4 linked regions of the Mus musculus genome follow. The protein of the gene in region 1 binds, or shares a complex with, the protein of each later gene. Links are inferred from orthologs where the notes say so. Each region holds a gene or a part of one and is shown on either strand. Other genes may lie near its edges.

Region 1 (4,260 bases):
AGAGAGAAAGAGAGAGAGGGAGAGAGGGAGAGAGAGAGAGAGAGAGAGAGAGAGAGAGAGGAAGGAAGGAAGGACAGACGGATGGACAAACTAGCTGAGGCCCCCTGCTCCAGGTCCCACAGGCAGCAAGAGACAGAGCCAAGATTCACATTAGCTGGGAAGAATCCCACGTCCAGCACACCTAGAAGTAGTGAGCCATCACCATCACAATGAGCAATGTTCTCCTAGGCTCTTAAGCCCTTCGGATGAGGCTGCAGGCCAAGAGCACAGATCCTGTGACCCTGTCATCTCCTCACTGTGTATCTGAGCAGTAGTCACCATAGGGGGAAACCGATGCTCAAAGAGGCCATAGCTGTGCTCTCAGTGAAGGTAGGGTCGTCTTCTCATCGCCTTGAGAAACGCATGTCAATGTCTGGGGTCATTCTTGTTGTCATTACAACCAAAGTATACAGGGGACACCTATCCATGTCAACATTCCGAGGTACACAGGACAGCCCCACTACACAATGACCCCCACACAAGGCCATTGCTGGGGCCTTGGGAAGGGGTGTGGGTTCCCAGCCTAGACTGTCAAGCTCTATGTTCAAAGTAAAGGTGTCAGAGAAGCACAGAACTGGCTGAGGCTCCACCTCTCTCTGCATAGCCATCATCTCACCCTCACTCCCCCCACCTCCCCACCCCCACCCAGGGTTTTTCTGAGTTGCCCTGGCTGTCCTAGAACTCTATAGACCAGTCTGACCTCAAACTCAGAGATCCCCCTGCCTCTGCCTCCCAAGTCCTGGAATCAAAGGTGTGCACTACCACCACCAGACCCTCATACCATTCCTAACCCCATTGCCTCCTCCAAAACAGAAACAAGACTCTGTAAGGTAAAAGTGTTTGACCCAAGAACTCATTAGGGAAGGCAGCATTGGTATTTAAACCTGGCCTCACTGAACAATACTCTGTCATGACCAGGCCCCACCCACTGTCGCCCACCAGCGCCCCCAACCCAGCAGGCAAAGCAGGTACACAGCCAGGAGCAGGGCCAGCTCAAGCAAAGAGGAGAGGTGAAGGTCCTTGGCCCCACCTCCAGCAGAGAAGGCCTGGGAATGTGAAAAGCATGCAGGCAGGGAGGCAGGGCCTCCTGGGTCCTCCTCCTCGGTGACTCACTTCTGCCCAGGGACAAGGAGTCACTTGAGGGCAGCAGGGCAAACGCCTGGCCTGGTCTTGAGGAATTAGAAGGTCAGCTTCTCCACCTGCCATTACAGATCTGCAGACAGCAGACCAAGAACTGTCACCTTGGGGAAACCCTCTTGGCAAAGTGGCTAGGAACCCAAAACCCCACTTCCTGAGATTTCAATGCCTGGGGCGTTTCCAGAATCTAGACAGGACATCCGTTTGCCAGACACAGAACAGACAGGCACGGAGACGGTGGAACCAGGCAGCAAGTCCAAGCGGGAATGAACATAAGGGAGAAGACGGGACGGGGACCAAGATGTAGGTCCAGCCTCATTCTGGGAATCACAGCCTCCATGTGCGTCCTACTCGGGACACACCAAGCACATGCATGTACTGGGACAGCCCTGCACAGCCCTCAGTGGGCTTGAAGGGGAGCCGGCACCGGTGCATCAGCCTGGAGGTCTGACCTTGTGAGATCGGCAGCACCAGATACGCCCAGCTCCTCGGCAAGGCCGGCAGGCCATCAGCAGGACTGGGGAAGACGGGTACAGAAGGGTACAGGGGAGACATGGGGGCAGGTGTAGAAGGAGATGAGAACCAGTTACACAGGACAATGGACTGCATGGTGACGAATTAATGGAGCCACAAAGATACAAAGATCTCAGATTTTGGGCCACTGAATTAGAGTGGGGAGTCAGTCACCCCGACCCTGACCCTGCTTCAGTAACGCCCAACAGGTCACACAGGGAAGGCCATGTGGCTGGCAGATGCCAGTCACAGGTGTCTGTTGCGAGGGAGTAGAGACCCAGCCCTGTCACCTTCCAGACATAAAATCCTTCCTGTCTGTGTGACAGGACACGCCCCACCTGGGTTACAGCTCCATCTGTCAGCCTGAAGGGTGGTTATGGGGAACAAGGCGGAAGGAGGAACCCGGCCTCAGGCCTAGTGAAGTGACTTAGACACTTCCTCCAACAGGTGCCCATCTGGGTGGCGTCAAGACCATCGTAAAGACGTCTGCAGGCGGGGGTGGCCCGGGCTTTGTTGTGCGGGGGAGGGGATCGGGCCGGGCACTCCTCCGGTCCGGGGCAGGGTGCCAGGCACCTGCTCCAGGTGAAGCGGCACCTGACAGAAACCGAACGCTGCAGGACCCAGAGTAGGATGTGGGGACGACAGGCACCGGGATCCGCAGCTAGCCTCGGACACCGAAGTGGGGACCCCGCTACACACGCTGACTCTCGGGGAGGGCCAAAGGAGGGGATGCTGGGGTAGAATCCCGAACAGCACCCCTTCCTCCGACCCGGTCGGCGCCTCCACCTGCTACAAGGGCCCGCGCGGGCTCCCGATGGGGACCTCGTCCGGGACTCTACCCGTGCCTGGGGTCCTCCGCGCCTTCTGGCCGCCCCGCGGGTGCGGACAAGTCGCCTACCTGTACGGCGTCGCCGGCCATGTCCTCCGGCCGCCCGCCAGGGGTCCCAGCGCCAAGGAAGGGCTTGCGAGCGCGCGGGCGGGTGCGGCGGGAGGCGCGGCGCCCAGACCCTCCCAGGCGCGCGGCGCGCTCCGGCCTGCTGCGCTCGGCCCGGCCTGGCCAGGCCTCCGCCGAGCTGCGCCCTCCGGCCCCAGCGGCTGCAGGGTGGGTCACGTGAGCGCCGAGGTCCGCGCCTGGGGAGGAGGCGGGGCGGGGGCGGGGCTCCCGGCGGCCCCCGGGGCTTGCAGCGGGGAAATAGGGTCCCTGTTGGCTGTGGGGTGCGGCAAGCGCTCCTTGTAGCGTAGGGGACTCTGAGCGGGCCTAAGCGACCGCGAGCCTCAGAGGCCTTGTCCCCCGCCTCCAACCCCTTTGAATGCAATGGTCACCGTCCACCACCACCCTCGACACACACGGCCCAGCTGCACAGAGGCATCCTCCCTCCCGTTTCCCGGGAGGCAAACACAGGGAGAGCCTGACTTCAAATCCCAGTGTCCTGGGCCTTGGGGGAACACAATACCCCTCAGGACTAGGATGTCTGTAAAACTTGAGGAAGAGTAGGGCAAGTGTATAGATCCCAAGTGCACAATAAATGCCAGCAGTTGTCACTTTTAGCTCATTTTTTTAAAGACTTTATTTTGATTCATGTGTGTTAGGAATAAGTTTCGGGGTGGCAAAGAAAGAGACCATCCTTCAAAATGAAATGTCCGAACAAGGCAAACTTTACTCTTCATCAAGACAGTGCGCTGCGGAAAAGCAAAGAGAAGACAGGAAGTGCATATGGTTTCTATTCTAACTCAGGTGACCTCGCAGTCTTATTCAATTGGCTAGTCTGAGAAAATTGGCGCAGAGGAAATTGAAGGGGAAAGGGGTCACTGCTCCAAGCGATCAATTTCCTAGAATGGAGCGGGGGGGGGGGGGGCGCTTTGTATAAACAAAAGTTTTACTGGGTGAGGAGGATTAAAACATCTCCTTAAAAGTCCTATAAGGTAGGAGAGATAATGATTTTAATTACTGTCCAAAAGACTAATCTTATACTATTTGCTAGAAAAGACTCATATTTAATTTCTTGCATGTGTATATATGTGTTTCTTTGTGTGAGTTATGCACATGTGTGTGGGTGCCTCTGGAGGTCAGAAGAAGACATGGGATGCCCTAAAAGGAAGTTATAAACTGTTTGTGGACTGCACCACCTGGGTGCTGGGTCCAGACTTGAGTTTTCTACAAGAGTAGTATTGCTTCTATCTCTTCAACTCCTATTTTAATCTTTATACCATTTATTGAGTGTGTTCACGTGCATGTACCACACATGCCAAGCCAAATGTGTGGTGGCCAGTGAGTGACTTACAGGATGGCTTTTCTTCTGCACCCTATCATTTGGGGGGGGCACCCAAACTCATCTTCCTAAGCCCTGAACAGGCCCAATACTCCATCACTGAACTCTCAAGACTACAGTAGAGGCTTCCTTCCTTGTCCCCCAGCCGCCTCCTCCTTACAGTCTCTTCCCCAAACCGCATACCAACGGAGCCTAAAGTCTAGACATTTCCAGGAGGAGCCCACCAGGTCCTGTGTCACCTGCCGCCCTTGGTCACTTGCCACTCGCTGCTTCAGCAAGTTGACACCCTCATTATAGCTCA
Region 2 (3,500 bases), on another chromosome or scaffold:
TCAACAGATGTTGGTGCCCCAGAAAAGGCAGGGGAACTGGAACATAGCCTGCTTACCCCAGATGCTACCACCCAGAACAATAAGCCTCAAGTAGGGGAAGGCACAAAGGAAAGACTTGAGAATTCAGACAGTAGCACAACTGAAACAACTGCTGTTCAAGTTTTAAGTGAACCCATGGAGAAAGCCGATATTACAAACCATGTCTTTGCCACCAGTGCCGTAGGTGTTAACACTCCTGCTGAGGCTTCACCTGCATTGAGTTCTGAAGAAATCCCCACTGAAAAACCAGGAATGGAAACTCAAGAGAGAGGCTGTGAGGGGGGAACCACAAGTGACCAGAGCTCCCCGGTGCTTCCTGCTGCTGCTATAGAAAACAAGGTTTTAGGTGGACAAGAACCTGATACTTCCATAGCAGGCTTTTGTAAGACAGCATCACCTTTGGATTTAACCATGCCAGGCCCAAGTTCAGATGGGATGCCAGAACAGAACTCAGAGTCTCATGCACGGCCTGCTCAAAGCCTAAGTGGCCAGGCGCTGCTCTGTTCTACAGCTGAGGCTGGCACGCCTTCTGCTGAGGCTACACATCAGCCGAGCACAGTGACTTCTAGTGGCAGGTTGGAAGAATGTGGCAGTGGTAAAGCTAGCCTGCCTGAAAGCACAATGGTGCAGCCAAGCACGCAAGAACTTTGCACCACCCTCTGCCCAGAAGACCCACAAGCTGACACAGTCACTTCTGACACTGTGAAAAATACCCAGAAATCTGTGGGGGTTTGTCATCTCTGTGTTTCAGATGCAAAGAATCAAGGAAATGGTTTGAAGCAAGATACACCTTTAACGAACGTGCTTGAGGATGTTCCACGTCTGCCTTCAGTTGTCTCCCAGACTGAGAAAGAACTAGCGCCAGACCAGGTATCACCTCCAGCCAGCAGTTTCTCTCTGGCAAGCAGTCCAGAGAGTGAATCAGTAACCAAAGATGACGCACTTTCTCTTGTCCCCTCCCAGAAAGAAAAGGGAACAGCAACTCCTCAGCTCCATAGAACTACAGCTTGTCGAGATGGCCCAGATGGAAGAGATTTGAGTGATACCGATAAGGTAGGAGACGGGGCCACTGACCCACCTCCATCCTCTGCTGTAGAGCTTCGGACCAGCATGGGAAATACCAGCCCTGTAGGCATTGGTGGAGAACAGGAGGGTTCCAGCCCAACAGCAACACTTGAAGTGCTGAGTGACTCTTTACTGCATAACGTGGATAAAGCTGCTTTGGTTTCTGACTTTACTCTGCCTGAAGAAGGTGTCAGTGTAGTGGTTCCAGAAAGTTCCACAGCTCTGGGGCAAGATGGCAAAGATAGAGCAATGAGCTGTTCTTCAGTTAAAGAAGACGTGCATTCTTCAGAAATGTCAAGGGAAGACCAGAGAACACCTCCCTCTGGGCAGGAGATACCAGGACTCTGTGAAAAACCTATGTCAGCCCTCTGTGCCGAGGAGAAAGCACAGCAGCACACACCCTCTGCCTGTCTGAAAACAGAAACTAAAGACATCAAGGAAGTGGCCCCACAGGTCTCCCTGCTGACTGAAGGTGGGGCTGCAAAGAGCCTGGTGCCACCAAGAACGAGTCTGTCTGCCGATTCAAAGCAGAAAGCCTCGAGTACAGAGCAGAGCGGCTCATCTCTGTTGCCAAGTGGGCTGCCAGGTGCGTCTGAGGCACTCCATTGTAATCAGCCTTCTGCTCTCGATGTTGTCGTAGAGAATACTCAGTTCCAAGGGGAAACCAATGCTTGTGAGGTAAGCAGAAGTGCGATGGAGGATGTTACAGTGGCTGATGCTTCACCAGCTACTGCTGAGCCCAGAAAAAAGGATGCATCACACTGTATCAAAGACATCCCAATTTCAGAGTTGTTAAACCAAGAGAAGCAAATGACTCCAAGTTTGCCAGAAGCTTTCCTGGACAAAGGTGTCACTGACTTACAGGAAGTCATAACCCCAGAGATAGAACCACTTGATTGCAAGAGAGAGACGCTGGAGGGAACAGACCTTAACTGTGCCACGAGTAACTCCAAAGAGACCCCAATCGAAAAACCAATGCAGCCTCTTGCCAGGGACCTCCCCACAGAGACAGGGCTCTCAGTGATCAATAACAATGTCCCCCAAGCTGACATGAAGCAAGTGGCACAGGCTTCCATCCCGGCAGAGGAAAGTAATGCCACTACTGTCTCAACCCAAGCTGCAGATGTGCCTACCAGAGCAGACTCCATAGAGGAGACCGCCACTAGGATAGTGGAGGCCGTCATCAGGCAAGTCAGGGCCTCCAACGCACTGATGGCTAAAGTAGAAACCCAGAATCCGTCACTCTCCAGTCCAGAGACTAAGCAGCTAGAGAATGCTTACACAGAGAGTGCATGCGCTTTCCTGCCTGGGGAGACCCCGCAGATAGAGAAGACGCACGAAGACACCACCGGGCAGTGTGGTGCTGAGACAGAAGAACCAGAGAAAATTATTCTACCTGAGTCAGCACCAGGTAAGCAAGGCAGTTTATAAGACTTAACAGCTTAAGAATCATGTCTCTGTTGTGTACTAGAATGTCGATATTGTTGGTTTGTAGTCCTACTTGCTCAGTCATGTAAGTTGCCAAGTTAATAGTCACTGCTGTCAGAAAACACGTGTCATCTTAGGTTGGACAGATTTTACTTCCTGTATTACAGGTGCAAAGCTTTCCTGTTGTTGTTGTTTTTTCAAGCCTACCTTCTCTGTCACACTGGAGCCATTGCAGTTTCTAAATCCGGAAGACAGTACATGGATCTCAGACGGCGTTAGATAATCAAACAGCTTAGTTCTTTTCTTTAGAACCCCAGAATGTAGCGCTGAAATGAATGTGCTTTGTTTACAGATTGGAAACTTTTCCAAGTCATAGCTGTCTGTATTGTAAGAGAATTTAAAGTTGGGCCGGCTTCATGAGCAGCTGTTTTTGAGAAGTACTGAATTAAATGAACATCTAAAACGGTGATATTAGGTCATTGCTTAAGTTGGGGGTGTGTACTCTTCCTCCTTTTCCTGCCTGAGAAACAGACCTCCAGGTTTGCTGCTTTGCTTTTGGGCAGAGTCTGGGAATTCAGGGTCCTGCACAGCACAGGGGATAGGATACAGGATTTCCGCCCAAGCCCAGTCCGCTGCGCTGCTGTCACCAGGCAGACCTGGTGTCTGCTTATCTCGGTGAAGCAGCTGCACTAAGCAGATTGCTCAACACAAGCTGCCTGTTCCATCGATGGGTAACTATGTCCTAAAGAGAGTGTCGAGAAGCCACCATTGCTCAGTGGAATGAACTCACTGGATAGAACTTCTTATGGCCTTTGAGACTGAAGCCGAAACTGTATTCGGAATGGCTGTCACTCTTGTCTTCTGAAGTCCGGAAGGTCAGTTGATGCAGACGTTTATGCCGCCACCACATGCTACCCTGTACTGTGGCTCTGATGCTTTTGTGATAGGTGTTTTGTTTTTTTTTTTTT
Region 3 (3,500 bases), about 5.0 Mb from region 1:
ATTTATATGATTAGTTGCATTGTTTGATTCATGCTATATATATCCATTTCTGTGCTAGTGATGGAACCCAGAGCATTCACATGCTAAACAATCATTCTACCACTGTGTGACATCACTCACTACTTGTATAAACCTTTGAACCTTCAAGTTACCATTCCTTCTCTATTAATTTGTCTCTGATCTCCCATTTTGACACTTTCTTTGGGCATAGGTAAGCCTTGGTTATCTGTCTTATTATTAAAAAGACAGATTTTGAAATATCCTGAGCAACCAGGTGAAACCTGTCTACAGTGACTTTCACCGTAGATGGTTAGACAATAGTAGTGTATATAGTAGTTTATTTCTGTAGAATTTTTCTCATGGGTTTACCAGCTTCTTCAGATAAAAAGCCTCCTGCCTGTGGTAAAGGTATGATTGTAGAGGTCTGGGAACCTGGAGGATGAGTGAGCTGGGTAGTGGAAAGGTAACCTTGGCACATATTTTACACACAGTCATTTAAACTCTGGCTTTGGGGGAATGGCAACCACTTTCTAGTTGTGCCTGGATTCTCCCAGTCCTGGGATCCTTTTTCATCCTTTCAGAATGCAGATCTTTGGGCAGTATGACAGGCAGGGACAGTGAGTGGCTGGGTCATGCTTTGGAGTGGGGAAGACATACTTGATACTGCCATGCCAGAGCTCTTGGCAGACTGTAGGGTACACATGACATGCTTTTCAACAGCAACATTTTGGTCTTAGGACTTAGCCTTAAGAAGTCTTCTACCATCCATCCATGTGTCCATCCATCTGTCTATCCATCTGTTCATCTGTCCATCCACCCACCTACCCACCCACCCACCCACCCATTCATCCATCTACCCATCTATCCCACATCTATCCATCCATCCATCCATCCATCCATCTACCCATCCATTCATCTATCCACCCATCCATTCATCCATCCACCCATCTATCTACCATCCATCCATCCACCCATCAGTCCATCTGTTTGTCCGTCTGTCCACCCACCCACCCATTCATTGACTCATGTATCCAACCATCCACCCACCCACCTGTCCATCCATCCATCCATCCATCTATCCATCTGTCCATTCCATCTATCCATCCATCCATCTATCCATCCATCCACCTACTTACCCACCCAGCCACTCATGTATCCAACCATCCACCTATCTGTCCATCATCCATCCATCTGCCCATCCATCCATCCATCCATCCATCCATCTGTCTATCTGTCTGTTTATCTAGTAGGAGTCCTTTTATACTGCCTCTGTCATTGGGACTAAATCAGTGAATACAACAGAAAACTTTGTTGTGATGTTCATACCTCAGCTGGAGATAGATCATAGCAGAAGCAAGCATTGCAGAGTTTGGAAGGTGCCCTGTGCAATGGAAGATTAATAAAGGAGTGGATCTGTCTGTTGAGAGTCCCCAGGGTATAAAGTAGTGACTTCACCTTCCTGAAAGGTTGTTAGAGTATTCTCAGTGAGAAGATAGGAGCTGGGAAAAGACTAAAGTGGGTGAGAGAATTAGCCAGCCAGCGGTGGGGTTTAGCACTCTAGCCAGAGATGCTGTTAGAGCAAAGTCCTGAAGTAGAAGCACACTGGGCATGCTCATTAAATGAGAGGGAGGCCAATGCTAAGTGGAGCATTCAAGGGGAGGAGGGGGCCAAGGCAGTCAAGCAGTCAAGAAGAGATGCAGTCTGGGTTTACATGGTCACAAACAAGGATGCTTGTCTACTTTGGCTCTGGAGTGTTTACCATTGGACTCAGGCCATGGCTGGGATGTTTATGCTATGCTTGTGTGACTAACCTGTAAAATACTCACCTCTGACTAGGAAGCAGGCACTCTCCTCTGACTGTGGTGTGGGGGATGGAATAGGCTGTAGGCAAGGATTGTGCAGAGACTGGCAGCTGTGCAGTTTCTGGGTAAGCCATGATGTGCCTTGGAGCAAGATGGCAGTAGGCCTCATGTGCATACAGGGCTCCATAGCCATCAGCTAAATGTACCAACTCTAGAAGACATAACAGAAAAGAGATTAAAAAGCAGCACGTTCCACTACTTCTTATGTTGACCGTGTGGTGAAATGGCAGGATTTTGCGTGTTGTGGTAAAGTATGATCTATGACCAAGTACACCCAATACTTGTCACTGAGGCATGTGGCTGTTAGGCTTTGGTGCACATATACCTTGCTTGTGTGCTCTGGACTCTATTTCTGTCAGACAGCTTGATTCTGGTACTTTGAAGGTGGAGACTACAGGATGTGCTGACAATGTGCAGAGAAGGGACTGTAAGGTGACCTCAGATGTTGGGCTGAACAACTAGAAGGATTGAGGAGACCTGAGCAGAGACTAGGAAAGGCGTGTGTGCGTGTGTGACCAGCATGTGTGTGTGTGTGTTTGTGTGTGCATGCACGCGCACATACTTATGACACATTTAAAAGGAAAAAAATGGGCAGTTAGGGGTGTGGGTCCCAGACTCAGAGCATAGTTTAGGCTGGAGAAGAAAGTGGGTTCTGTGGAGAGAGAGAGTTTAAGCATCCAGGCCATGGGACTTGGTACAACACCAGCCTTCCAGGGGTCTATAGCTTCCAAAATCATTGCTTGCTTTTGTCCGTTGGTAGGTTTATGTATTTGTTTGGTCTTTTTTTTTTTTTTTTTTTTTAGCTTTTAATTTTTTAGCTATTCATTCTCTCAGTGGGTTTTGGGAGGAAGCCAGGTTGGCTGTGTGTTTGTTTCACAAACCACGACTACATCATCTTTGTTTGCTAAATGCAGACGGTAGAGCAGTTGTTTTTCTGGGCTCTCATTATGCTAGAAGAGGACTGTGTATTGGTTGTATTGTTGGTAGTTTTTACTTTATCCTGAATGCTTGATGCCAGGAGTGTTTCAGAAAATTTTTTGGGTTTTAGAATATTTACATAAACAATGAATACCTTGGCAACCCGACCCACGTCTAACGACAGAAGTCATTTATATTTCATGCACACATGGCTGGAAGGTAATTCTACACGATGTTTCAATTTTCCTGTTGTGACATTGTGTCAGCACTTAGAATGGTTGGGATTTAAGAGCATTTGGACTTGGGACCTTCAGATTAGGGGTGTCCAACTTTTAATAGAAACCTTCCCACACTGTTCCTCTTCCTTCGGCCTTCTTGAAAATAGCAATGGCCTTTTCTTTGTTGTCTGTAGGCAAGAAGGCTGCTTGATCTCGCTGCGGTGAAGGCCAATGGACTGGCTGCCTTCCTTCTACAGCACGTCAGGGAACTACCAGCTCCACTGCCTCTGCCTTACGAGGGTACGTATTTGTCCTTCTGGTTAACACAGACCCCTGGTTAAAGAGCAAAGCACAAGGCAGTTAGCGTCCATGGATGGATGCCTGACGTCCTCCAGACTCAGTTCCTGCATCTGAAGCCTAGCAGCAACCTGACAGCAGTGAAGATGGAAAAGATGAGGGCATGGCGGCTCTCCCCCTTCCTTGCTCCCCAAACCACATGATA
Region 4 (3,500 bases), on another chromosome or scaffold:
GGCACTAGGATTAGTTAGCTTTGGTGGACCTAGCTAAGTAAACACCGGAGTTTGCCGCTCAAGGCAGGAAACAGTCCTTGCTATCAGTTATTTCTACATTTTTAGCGGCTCTCGGCAGGGAGAAGGAAAGCGTTTATTTTTAGAACTCTTAAGACCACAGAAGCTAGAACTTGAATTTGCCAACAGTGTGATCCTTGGAATGGGTGGTGACTGCGGGTGGGCAGGAGGAGCCTGGGCAGGCCCCAGGTGCTCTGCTCACACCCAGGACCTGCAGGCCTTGGTCTGACAGGTGGAGAGCAGGAAAGACAGGAAGTTGTAGGCAGCTGCTCTCCTGAGAGTCCACCCTGGCCTCTCCTTAACCCAGTCAGCTGGCTCAGCAAACTGTCCCACCCTCTCCTACTCTTTTTGGCTCTTCTGAGACAGAATCTTGTGATATAGAGCAGGCTAACAGGAAGTCATTAGAAAATAATCTAATCCCCTCCGGGATGAAGTGACAGAGTTATGTGACTACAATTTCAGTTTGTGCTATTAGTTTTGATATAAACAAGTTATCTGATGTTTTAAAACCTATGTAGTTAGCATGAAAATGATATTTAACAATGGAGAATTTCTCATTTTAAAAAAACTACAACTTATGTAGTTAAAAGGAAAGAATATACATTAATATCAAAAGAATACCAGCCTAACTTTGGCAATTTGTTTTTACTGGGAAGTGGAGTGAGATTTTGTCTTCTGTAATATTTTTGAAAACTTTAGTTCTGGGCTGGCAAGATGGCTCAGTGGGTAAAGGCACTTGCCACTAAGCCTGACAACTTGAGCTTAATCCCCAAAAACCACATGACAGAAAGAGAGAACCAACTCCCACAAGTTGTTCATGATCTCCATGTGTATACCATGGCCTGTATGCCTCAACACTGTGTACACACACAAAATGAATAAATAAAATGTAATAACAATAAACCCGTATTGTGTGTGTGTCTGTGTGTGTGTGTGTGTGTGTGTGTGTGTGTGTGTGTGGTGTGTTTGTGGGCATACATGTGCTATGATATGCTCTTGGAAGTCAGAGAGCCACACTGTGGGGTTGGTTGTCTCTTCCCACCTTTATATGGGTCTCTGGATCTGTCTCCCGTCACCAGGCTCTCATGACAAGTGCTTCTAAACCCACCGAACCATCTCTCCAGCCCCCATATTAAGTTTTTTATTGTTTTTTTTTTTAATAAGCACTTGCTAATATTATGTCAGGAAAAAGGAACAGGGAGATAATCTAAGACCAACTGAATACAACAGTAGTATTTATTTGCATTTTTGTTTGCCACAAGCATGTAGCTCATTTCTTGCCAGCCCACATTTACTTTGAGACTATTTATATGTATTAGATCACACAGGATATTTTCTCCAGTTACCGAACCCACTAGTAACATCTGCTGTACTGATCATCCACCATGCTCAAGGCACAGAGTGGCTTACTACACAAGTCCCGGACACCCTCCCTAGGCTTCTGTCCTTGGCCTTCCCTCTGACCATCCCACTCCATGTCTCTCTCAGACCACAGCCACCCACATGCACAGCCCGCTCCTTGCCTCTTGTTCTGTGCTGTTATGCAGGCCGTCAGCCCCCTGAAGTCTCCCTCCTGCCCATCTTCCATGTCACATTCTTTGTGGCCTTCCATCCCCCACAAGACCTCTTCTTGGATTGGCTTCTGTCTTCTAGAATGCCTGCACCTTTACCCTGCACCTGAATGTTTCGTGGATGAAACTCCTCGCCCTCCCAGGCTCCCCTCTTCCTGTCATCAAGTCTTAGTATAAGCATCCATCCCCGCCAGAGACCTCATCCAACCTCCCCAGGCTTAGGTGGTCCTCTTGGTTGGTTCTTTATTAACTCTTTCTCTCATCATACAACTTACCCCCACTTCATTGTGGATGTTTAATGGTCTCTCTGATGCACTGAAGACTTCGGGAGAGGAGAGGAGAGGAGAAGAGAGGAGAGGAGAGAAGAGGAGAGGAGAGGCCGCAGTGACCTTTGACCCCAGTGGGTACTCAACACTGTTGTCAAGCACATGGATGCATAAGTGTTGTTTTCACCTTTCAGAAAATGAATCTTCAACTGTGAAGAACACACACACATACACACACACTCATACAGAGACAGACAGACAGACAGACAGACTTAGAGAAAGACACACACACACAGAGACAGAGACAAAGACAGGATTTTATATCATAAAACATAAAATGAAGATATCTAGAGAATTGGTGAGTTCCTTCCTATTAGGCAGATAGCATTTTTTTTAAAAGCTTAACTCCATGAGGTACTGTACCTGTTTTATACAAATGCGCGCATTTGGAACAGGGTCTTCTTATGTATCCCTGGCAGGTTTAGTTCCTGCTGTGCAGCCTAGGCTCACCTCAAACTCGTGGTAGTCCTCCTGCCTCAGCCTGGGATTCTGGGTACACACCACCACGCCCAGCTTATATCGTGAAGTTAGAAATGTAGTGGTTTCAACGTTAGAAACATGACGCCATACTTTTCTTTGGTGCTAAGGTGATTCAAACAGAAATGATTATCATACTTTCTCTCCATTTTCTTCCAGTTGTTATCGCTGCTGACGGAGTGCTGAAGGTAGGACTGTTTCTTATCATTTGAAGAGAGTTGTCCATTTCTGATGATGGCTTTGTGACTAACAGTCTCCCGTCAGCACTGGGTAGAAAGTTGACATTGGTTCCTCTGTCCTCAGATCTGTGACTTCGGTGCCTCGCGGTTCCATAACCACACAACACACATGTCCTTGGTTGGAACTTTCCCATGGATGGCTCCAGAAGTTATCCAGAGTCTCCCTGTGTCTGAAACCTGTGACACGTATTCCTATGGTGTGGTGAGTACGTTTCTCATTTCCTGCTTACCAAAGGACATAGGAAGGGACAACAGCTTAGAGAAGAAAATGGCCACAGTTTAGCTTCCTTGTGCCTGAGACAGTTGGGTCATCCACAGTGGAAGCATTAGGGAGGGGCTTTCCAGCTGTCACAATGTATGCTTTGATCACTTATGACCCCGAGCTAATCTGTCCTACAACAAGAAGAACCATCACTGCTTCCGAGAAACAAATAATGCAGAGCCTGACCAGCGCGAGGCCTGCCGGGCACGCTGTCGAGCTGGGTGGAAGCACCACTGTAGAGCCGCTGTGCAGTTCACTGATATTGCGAAAATCTCTTGGAATATGCTTGCTTATAATAGATGCCCACATGGCGTGTGACAGACAGGAGCTGCCAAGCGAGCTAAACTTGTACATTTCCGAAACTACAAAAGAACATGTTGTTAGACCAGATAGCCTTGCCCAGGTCTGCTGTAAATGCTTCGAAAACAAGTGGTGAAGTTAAGGGGTTAAAGCAGGTGGATGCCAGCAGGCAGAAGCAAGCCTAGAGTCGAGGGAGGAGCCAGCTAAGGATCATTTGGGAGGAAGTAGCCTCTGGTAGGGCATTTCCTGCTGCTGGAAGGAATCCTTT

Evidence for each region. Proteins that work in one complex are often made in the same cells at the same time.
Region 2: Pkn1 (region 1) and Akap13 share a complex: the UniProt entries of both Homo sapiens proteins name them as parts of the signaling complex. The link is inferred for Mus musculus from reciprocal best matches to the Homo sapiens genes PKN1 and AKAP13.
Region 3: Pkn1 (region 1) and Nod2 share a complex: the UniProt entries of both Homo sapiens proteins name them as parts of the signaling complex. The link is inferred for Mus musculus from reciprocal best matches to the Homo sapiens genes PKN1 and NOD2.
Region 4: Pkn1 (region 1) and Map3k20 share a complex: the UniProt entries of both Homo sapiens proteins name them as parts of the signaling complex. The link is inferred for Mus musculus from reciprocal best matches to the Homo sapiens genes PKN1 and MAP3K20.

Annotation. Positions count from the first base shown.
Region 1 is NC_000074.6:83,696,380-83,700,639, forward strand, and holds the start of Pkn1 (serine/threonine-protein kinase N1), read right to left. Parts: upstream 2,801-4,260; 5' UTR 2,609-2,800; coding exon 2,588-2,608; intron 1-2,587. UniProt on the Homo sapiens protein: PKC-related serine/threonine-protein kinase involved in various processes such as regulation of the intermediate filaments of the actin cytoskeleton, cell migration, tumor cell invasion and transcription regulation.
Region 2 is NC_000073.6:75,609,034-75,612,533, forward strand, and holds part of Akap13 (A-kinase anchor protein 13), read left to right. Parts: coding exon 1-2,527; intron 2,528-2,576; exon of another isoform or gene 2,577-3,407; intron 3,408-3,500. UniProt on the Homo sapiens protein: Scaffold protein that plays an important role in assembling signaling complexes downstream of several types of G protein-coupled receptors.
Region 3 is NC_000074.6:88,657,347-88,660,846, forward strand, and holds part of Nod2 (nucleotide-binding oligomerization domain-containing protein 2), read left to right. Parts: intron 1-3,192; coding exon 3,193-3,298; intron 3,299-3,500. UniProt on the Homo sapiens protein: Pattern recognition receptor (PRR) that detects bacterial peptidoglycan fragments and other danger signals and plays an important role in gastrointestinal immunity.
Region 4 is NC_000068.7:72,369,137-72,372,636, forward strand, and holds part of Map3k20 (mitogen-activated protein kinase kinase kinase 20), read left to right. Parts: intron 1-2,590; coding exon 2,591-2,619; intron 2,620-2,734; coding exon 2,735-2,872; intron 2,873-3,500. UniProt on the Homo sapiens protein: Stress-activated component of a protein kinase signal transduction cascade that promotes programmed cell death in response to various stress, such as ribosomal stress, osmotic shock and ionizing radiation.